Caenorhabditis elegans: one gene and its partner. The protein of the gene in region 1 purifies or fractionates together with the protein of each later gene. This does not show direct contact. Each region holds a gene or a part of one and is shown on either strand. Other genes may lie near its edges. The genes, in order: ZK1320.3 and F54D5.4.

Region 1 (3,652 bases):
CAGCACAGTGAGTGATGCACCAATTTGGTCTGAAAAGTAGAAATGGATTTTTTCATCTGGATTTGAATAATTAAATTTAAAATTATTGATTAAAAGGATAAAACAATTCTAGATCAGACACTCTGACTTTACATGAATTCTTAATTTAATCTTGAAAAGGAATATACTAACCTCACAAAATCCAATCCAGAGGATCGGAAATCTTGAATTGGAACTGCATCCTGTGTGGATTCATCTCCAACTGGAGTATAATTGCACAAATTTCCTCCTGGAGCAGAAGTTTGTTGAGCAAAAATTGCTGGAACTGCTAAGCAGGCAAGGAGAAGAAGCTTCATTTTCCTAAAAACTCTCGATAAAAATGAAAAGGAAACTATACTCAAAAACGTTTCAAAGCGAGTAGCAAATGGTCAAATTATCGGAAGTTATCAGTTAAAAACTGAAATTTTCCACATCACCGGCCTCCTCTTTTGCCAGTTGAATGTGTTGATAACGGAAAATAAAGAGTGGAAAATTAAATATTGAAAAATCACTAATGATTTCATTTTGAGAATAATAAGAATCAAATATTCAATGTAAAACTTTAAATAGTTAAATCGTTTATTAAAAATTAAAAGAAAAAAATCAATTAGCCTTGATAAGTCCTGCGAATACTTGATATGTCATGTAGGTTCCATCCGGCATTTGCTGAAAAATTTGTAAAATTTGGTGAGGTCTAATTTCTAATTCGGATACTTGCAGGTCTGGTTTTGTTGCATTTTACAACATTTTCTGAGTACTTACCTTGTTAGAAGACTTCTCACAGTAGTTCATATCGTGTTTGACATTGTCAGTCTCAATGATGCTTGGTGGTACTCCCATCTGAATATATGTATTCAAGTAGAAATAGTAGACACCTATATATTTTCCAAAAAAAAACTTGTGTAACTTACATCGTAAATAATATACGCCCATCCTGGCTTGTTGATATAGAAGTTGAGGGCTTCTGACATGGTTTCGATGTCATTGTAGGTGTTGACAATAGTATCAATCTGGGCCGACACAGCATCGTCCATACAGAAGTCTGAAATTTTGACATGTATTTATACCATAAGATGAAATCACTTACTAAAAGGATCATCGTCACGCTTGGTCGGGTTTCCGCTGATCAGCTCAGCATGAACCTTCATTCCTGAATAACGGGTGAAAGTACGGCGAACTTTGTAGGTTGCTGAAAATTCCCATTAAATTCTAGGATGTTTACTGGTATTTTCATAATGTTCCAAATGTTTTTACATGTACTTTAGTGTACTGATCTATGTTAACTTACGGACTGCAGTTGACTGATTGGCAAATTGGAAGCGAACAGCAGCTTTGACAGATTTGCGGTCAGCACAGTGGGTGATGCACCAATTTGGTCTGAAACTTTTTAAATTAAGATATTCGGCTATTTATGTGGTTCAAAAATTGGTAATCGTTTAGTATCCCACTGTTGCCAAAGTATTTTTCTGGGTCTAACTAGTAAGACCATCAAGAGTTGGCTCAACATAACTTGGCCGCGGCCTAAACCAATCATTACTAAAGCTGTTCCAATTTTTGAACATAAACTGACCTAACGAAATCTAATCCAGACGTTCTGAAGTCCTGAATAGGAACAGCCTTTTGGTTTGATTCATCTCCTTGTGGAGGATAAGTACACAAATTTCCACCTGGAGCAGACGTCTGTTGAGCTAAGATTGCAGGAACTGCCAAACAAGCAATAAGAAGAAACTTCATTCTCCTGAAAATATAAATATATGCTTCAAAAAATTTAAGTAGCAAATGGTCAAATTAGTATGAATTGTGGAGAGAGTTATCAGTCTAAAACTGACGTTTTTTAAATTATGAGCGTTTTCTTTTGACATTCAGTTATAGTGATAAGAATATTAAATAGAAAAATGGGAAAGCACTAATGATATCACTGGAAAAGTTAAAGGACAAGTTGTTTACAGATAAGTTTATGAGCATTGATTCCGGGGAGCCAGCAGCTTAACAAAACTGATTTCTTGATCCAATATTGCTCACAATCAGATGATTCAAAAGTTTATGCGAGTAAAATTAGTAGAAATACCAAATTAGTCTGATATGTTTTTCAAAATTGTTCTTCAATTAAAGGATAGACGAGTTTCTCAGAAAATAGGCTGAACATTTTCAGACTCTAAAAAGCAAGAAAGTTTTATTTGAAAGCTTTTTCGATGACTAAAATACAAACAAAGAGGGTCGAAAATTATTGAGTTCATATCCTTTGCTTCAAATGCATCCAAACAGTTTCCGGTTGAGTCGTGGCTCTTCCAACTAATTTCAATGGGATTTCTGTCTTGGTGCCAACTTCAAATGTATATTTTCTAAGAATATGAGCCAAGAGCATCTTTTCCTCCATATAAGCCAATCGCATTCCAACGCACTGACGAGGTCCTAATCCGAATGAAATATATCCTCCTTTTTGGAAAACTTGGTCACAGTTGGGGTCAAGCCATCTGAAATAATAACTAGTAGGATCTCTTACTAAATAATTTAAAAGGTGGAATACTCTCCAAAGTGATTCGCTTTTTAAAACTTTCAAAAATTAAGCCAATAATACATCTGAATATATTTTTTAATTTTGAAAAAAAAACCTTTCTGGCTTGAACTCCTTCGCATCATCTCCCCAAATCTTTGTATCAGTATGAAGACTCCAAGTATCTACTTGAACCATTGTTCCAACTTCAACTTCTACATTTCCCAATTTAGTGGCTCTCATGCATCTCCGAGAGTTCGCCCTGGAATAATTGTTTTTTTATGTGAAGTATAAATTTAAAACTCCTACATTGTTCCCAAAGGGTACAAACGTAAAGTCTCTTTGATAATACAATCCATGTATTTTAGTTTTGAGAGATGATCAAATGAAATTGATGGTTCTATGCATTCTCGTTCTATTTCTTCTTGTAATTTCTTTTGAACTTCTGGATGTGTTGCTAGGAGAAATGTAGTATAGGATAAGGATAGAGCAGTTGTATCGAAGCCAGCAATCAAAAAAACGAGACACTGACCGACTATTTCTTGAGTTGTTAGTTGACGGTTTCCCTGCAATTTTTTAAATTCAGGAATAATTTTTCTCCTGAAACTCACATAGCTACTAGTCTTTGAAAAATCCCCATTATTCTCTTGAAAATGCTCCACATCATCTGCTCTTGCTTCCAAAAATAAATCGATAAAATCCTGTGGCTCTCCGATTTCAATTCCATTTTTTCTATCATTCTCCCTCTGATCTATACGATTTTGAACGGCTGTCACAACAGTTTTGTTGACGTGAATGAAATTGGCTGCTCCCAACAATGGAAATTTCAACATAAAAAATCGAAAAACTTGAGCAAGAGTAGGAAAAACTCCACCGATGAGGGGAATATGCTTTCGATTATCTCCGAATATCTGGAAATATATGTTGAATTTCACTGGTAATAGTACCAAAACGAACCGCTCTGACAAACTTCAAAAGTGGATTTTTGAACATTTGCGAGTCGGTCTGACCCATTGCAATTCGTCCTATAGTATCCATTGTGAACTCTTGGTAGAATCTGTAATTTAAAATTTAAATTACTTTTCCAATACATCGAAAACTCACTGTAACATATCAATTTGTTGTCCCTCCGAAGTTTGT
Region 2 (3,856 bases), 1.9 Mb from region 1:
ACTGCCCACATGTTTGTTGTATGAATCAATTTCAATTCGAGATGTAAAAAGTACTTGAAATGGAGAATACCTCTCACAGTTAGCCTAGACTTTGTACCTTCTACAAGTTAATTCAGTTGACACCGAAAAATATGACGTCATATGGAAGAGGTTTTCATGACGTCATGATTTATCTGAAGCGCCAAATTTCCGCATTTTCATAAATAAAACAAAAAGAGCTACTGTCTAACATTAACCTCATATTGGCAATACTTACAAAATCGAATATTTCCATCGTTATGTCCAGGTTTTTTCTCGAAAATGTATATTGAGAAGCTTCTCAAAACTGGCTCAAACTGCACATTGCGACTTTGAGTCAGTTTTTCAGCAACTTCTTGAAATTTTCAATTAAAATTTGAACTATTCTCAGAACTTCTCAATAACTCATTAGAAATTACGAAAAAATTCGTACACGACGATGAGAAAAGGGAAAATTGCAACGTGGCAAAGTGTGAGCAATGCGGAGACAGTTTTTGACAGAACTTAAAATTTAGACAGATTGGTTTTTTTTAATATTAAATTGTCAAGTTTCTCCTAATTTTTTCATGCTTAAATCAAAAATTTGAACGAATATTATATTTATTCTCTAAATTATCGATAAGTTTGTCCAAACTACCATAGTTTAGGACATATCAAGTTTTGCCAGACGAATAGTAAAGATATCAGTGTCAGAAACAGAGTCGTAACTGCAGAAGTTCATGTCCTGAAAGATATTTCAAATTCAATGAGATCTAGGCATATTTCATACCGGAGTATAATCATCAATAGCGAATTCATTGAATTGAATGCAAGTGATCGCCCATCCTGGACGATTGAGGTTGAGCACCAAGGTGTTGACAATGTTCTGAAAAAATTGAATGTAAGCCAATTTGGGGATCTGATCTGATTTGAGATCTTTCCAATTTAAGATTGAACTTAATGTTTGACATGATAAGAATTGATTAATATTCTGAGTTCTGAGAAAAAGACTAGAGGTAAGGCCCCACAGGAAGGCCTTATAAGGTTAAGTGTGTGAAATATTGATTATTGGTCAAACCGTAAGCTAAGCTATATATTGGTCTGAATTTTTTGAGGTTGCAGGAAATATTATGATTTGGAGAATCAGGATTTCAAAGTTTCCAGAATTTCGAAGCTGAAGTCAAATCTCAAACCTTGCAATTGCTTCTCGTAGTTTTCTGAAGAGCATTCTTGACGTCTTGTCTCAAAACTGGATCTACACAGGACTTTGCATTTGGATCCTCGTCTAAACAAAATTCTATTGAAATTTCATTTTTAACTTCTAGAACCTCTTTGTCTAGCAAGTTGATGCAAAGCAATTACTTCTTTAATCTCTCGTGATCTCTCAATTCTTGTGCCATTATTTCCAGACATATCAACTTTGCAATTTTGAAGAGCAGTTCCAGTATTCAAGCATCCTTCAAAGCAATAGTATTTGGTGTTGAGTCTAGTTCCTCCATATGCGAAATCAGAGACACCTTCGGCAAGGGAACTGATCCAATAACCAGTGTCGTCAGTACAAACTGGAATTTAAAAGATTCGAATTTGAGAGGAGCTAAGCCCTAACCATGTGGAAGTTCTGAACCTTTTTATGACAAATTCATGGTAACAATTTGCGACCTAAACATGTTTTGGCTAAACTTAAATGACAAAATGAGTTTATTAATTCTTAAATTCAAGAAAAGAAACTCACGATTTCCAGTAGCGTATCCGACTGCAAAGATCAGCAAAGCAGAAACGATTTGGTTCATTCTACAAAATAAGATAATACTGTATTTTTCCCGGAAACACTTCCAAAAACGGAAGAATTTAACCTTATAAGAAAATAATTCTAACAACGGGTTATATTCCGAAAAATTGACAATATTGGCTATGGTGGGCGCTAGGGGCCCTAGTCACCCCCGGAACATCTAGTAGATGTAACGGTGCATTCAAAGTTGGAAGAATACCTTTAAATGGCAGATTAAGGAAGTAAAACATTAAATAAATAAAGTGCCCGAAAAATATAATAAAGTGTTCACAAGGTTGAAAAAAAATCTTCTGTATATACAAAGGAAATACTATTTCAACCTATTTCGCATTGATAAACTAGGTTTTTTTACAAACTGATATACATTTTTATATGGAAACCTAACGATGATTTCATTATTCTTATCTAAGTGGCAATTGAAGTTTGGCTGATTAAATGACATTTGAAAGAGGTAAGGGTTTGAGTTGGTGCAAAAAATCAAAAACATCATCTATATTTTTTGAAATATTGTTTAAAAAATGGTCTTATTTTTTTTTGGCAATTGATTGCTCCAGCAAAAAAAACGTGGAATACCGTGATGGATAAAGAATTGGAACATCAGATGCCTGTCGAGCACTTGGATCAGGCTGTTGAGCCAGAACGTATTGTAGAGGTCAGATCTATCAATAAGCGTGGATGTTTCTAGTACTGTCAAAACTTCAATCAAATTGCCGAATACTTTCAATTGTTGCCTTTTCAATACAGGAGTTAGCCATTATTAATTGAATCAATTTTTTTTTTTTAGCATCTCAATGGGATACCTCTGAAGTCACCCTTTCCATCTTCTTCTTCTCACACCTCAAAAGCAAACAAATACCATCTGTGAATTGTGTCTTTTCCTGTGTGAACGACTACCTTCAATTAGTCAAATCGGACGACATACCGTATACACCTGTTGAGTAGAATAAACGGTAGCCGCTAAAGAGAGTGAGCCCTTCCGCGCGGACTAACAACAGCTGCTCATCGGAAAAATCTCTCAGCGATTTCATTTTTCATTCACATAAGTTATTGTTTTGTGAGGAAAGTTTATTTTATTGTTGTTTTTTGTTGTTTTTTTTTGCATGAAAATTGAATTCATAGAATACCCAAATTTCCTAATGAAACACTAAAATTTCCTAGATTTTTGGCAATATTTAAATAAAGTTTTGGTAAATTACCAAATTATCAAAATATTGGTATCTTTTTTGAATAGTTTCGAGTGCAACAAAGGTTAAACCAAATTAAGATATAAACCTTGTTTAAACTTCTTTGAACTGTGGTAGGCAAAAACGAAGTCTATTAAAAAGTTCAATTTTTAACAATTAATTTTTCTTGTTGAAGAGATTAATTGTGTTATTTTGTGATTTTAGAACTATAAAAGTGGTTTTAAGATCTTTAGATAACAAAAATCAATATTGCTACTTACCAATAACTAATGCTAACTTGGTACATAGATAATATCTTGCTCAACTACACACTCTAATTCTACTACGTGGTTCAGTTATACCTCCCGGCTACCGACTACTGCTCCGTTGCAATCACCACCCTTTGTTCTGGACAGTTCAAAGGATCAATGCCGAACGTTTATTTGAATTGCCTTCAGCGGCGGTTATTTTTCTGTTTGCTCGTACTTTTCTGTCAGTGTGTACTGATTTTTTTCAAAAAAAAAAAGATGCCAAAATTGGTAGTTTGACCGGTTTTTGAGTGATATACTTTGGGCAGCTTTGCAATTTTTCAAACGTTTTCTACAAAAGTTATAGTTTAGTCTCATTTCACTAACTATTTATTTTATTAATTTTCTGACAGAAAATATCTTCTAAAGTTCAAATTTCTTAAAATTTTAAACAAATTTTCAGGCTACAGTACACGCGTTCAAGGCGTGGTGGGGCCCACGAAATATTGTCTTGTCTAATTGGCCAATATTCAAAATTTAATTTAAAAACCATTTTCTTCGAATGTTTTTTCCTCAAATAAGTTCTGACGGAAAACATATTATATTTGTTCATGAATTCCAGATTCTTTAGCATCTAGTTACGTTACTGTAAAATCTCA

What was found.
Region 2: the proteins of ZK1320.3 (region 1) and F54D5.4 fractionate together in Caenorhabditis elegans (co-fractionation; one large-scale study listed by BioGRID). This does not show direct contact.

The regions. Positions count from the first base shown.
Region 1 is NC_003280.10:9,658,664-9,662,315, forward strand, and holds ZK1320.3 (uncharacterized protein), read right to left. Parts: upstream 1,757-3,652; 5' UTR 1,753-1,756; coding exon 1,589-1,752; intron 1,396-1,588; coding exon 1,307-1,395; intron 1,208-1,306; coding exon 1,106-1,207; intron 1,061-1,105; coding exon 930-1,060; intron 859-929; coding exon 781-858; intron 685-780; coding exon 622-684; 3' UTR 583-621; downstream 1-582. Other genes in the region: ZK1320.2 (uncharacterized protein), read right to left, coding at 1-29, 172-335; cyp-13A10 (Putative cytochrome P450 CYP13A10), read right to left, coding at 2,252-2,492, 2,631-2,774, 2,822-3,078, 3,124-3,423, 3,470-3,569, 3,617-3,652.
Region 2 is NC_003280.10:11,567,750-11,571,605, reverse strand, and holds F54D5.4 (DUF19 domain-containing protein), read right to left. Parts: upstream 1,789-3,856; 5' UTR 1,788-1,788; coding exon 1,730-1,787; intron 1,560-1,729; coding exon 1,326-1,559; intron 1,283-1,325; coding exon 1,191-1,282; intron 884-1,190; coding exon 788-883; intron 743-787; coding exon 662-742; 3' UTR 602-661; downstream 1-601. Other genes in the region: F54D5.23 (Ovule protein), read left to right, coding at 2,364-2,438, 2,571-2,651.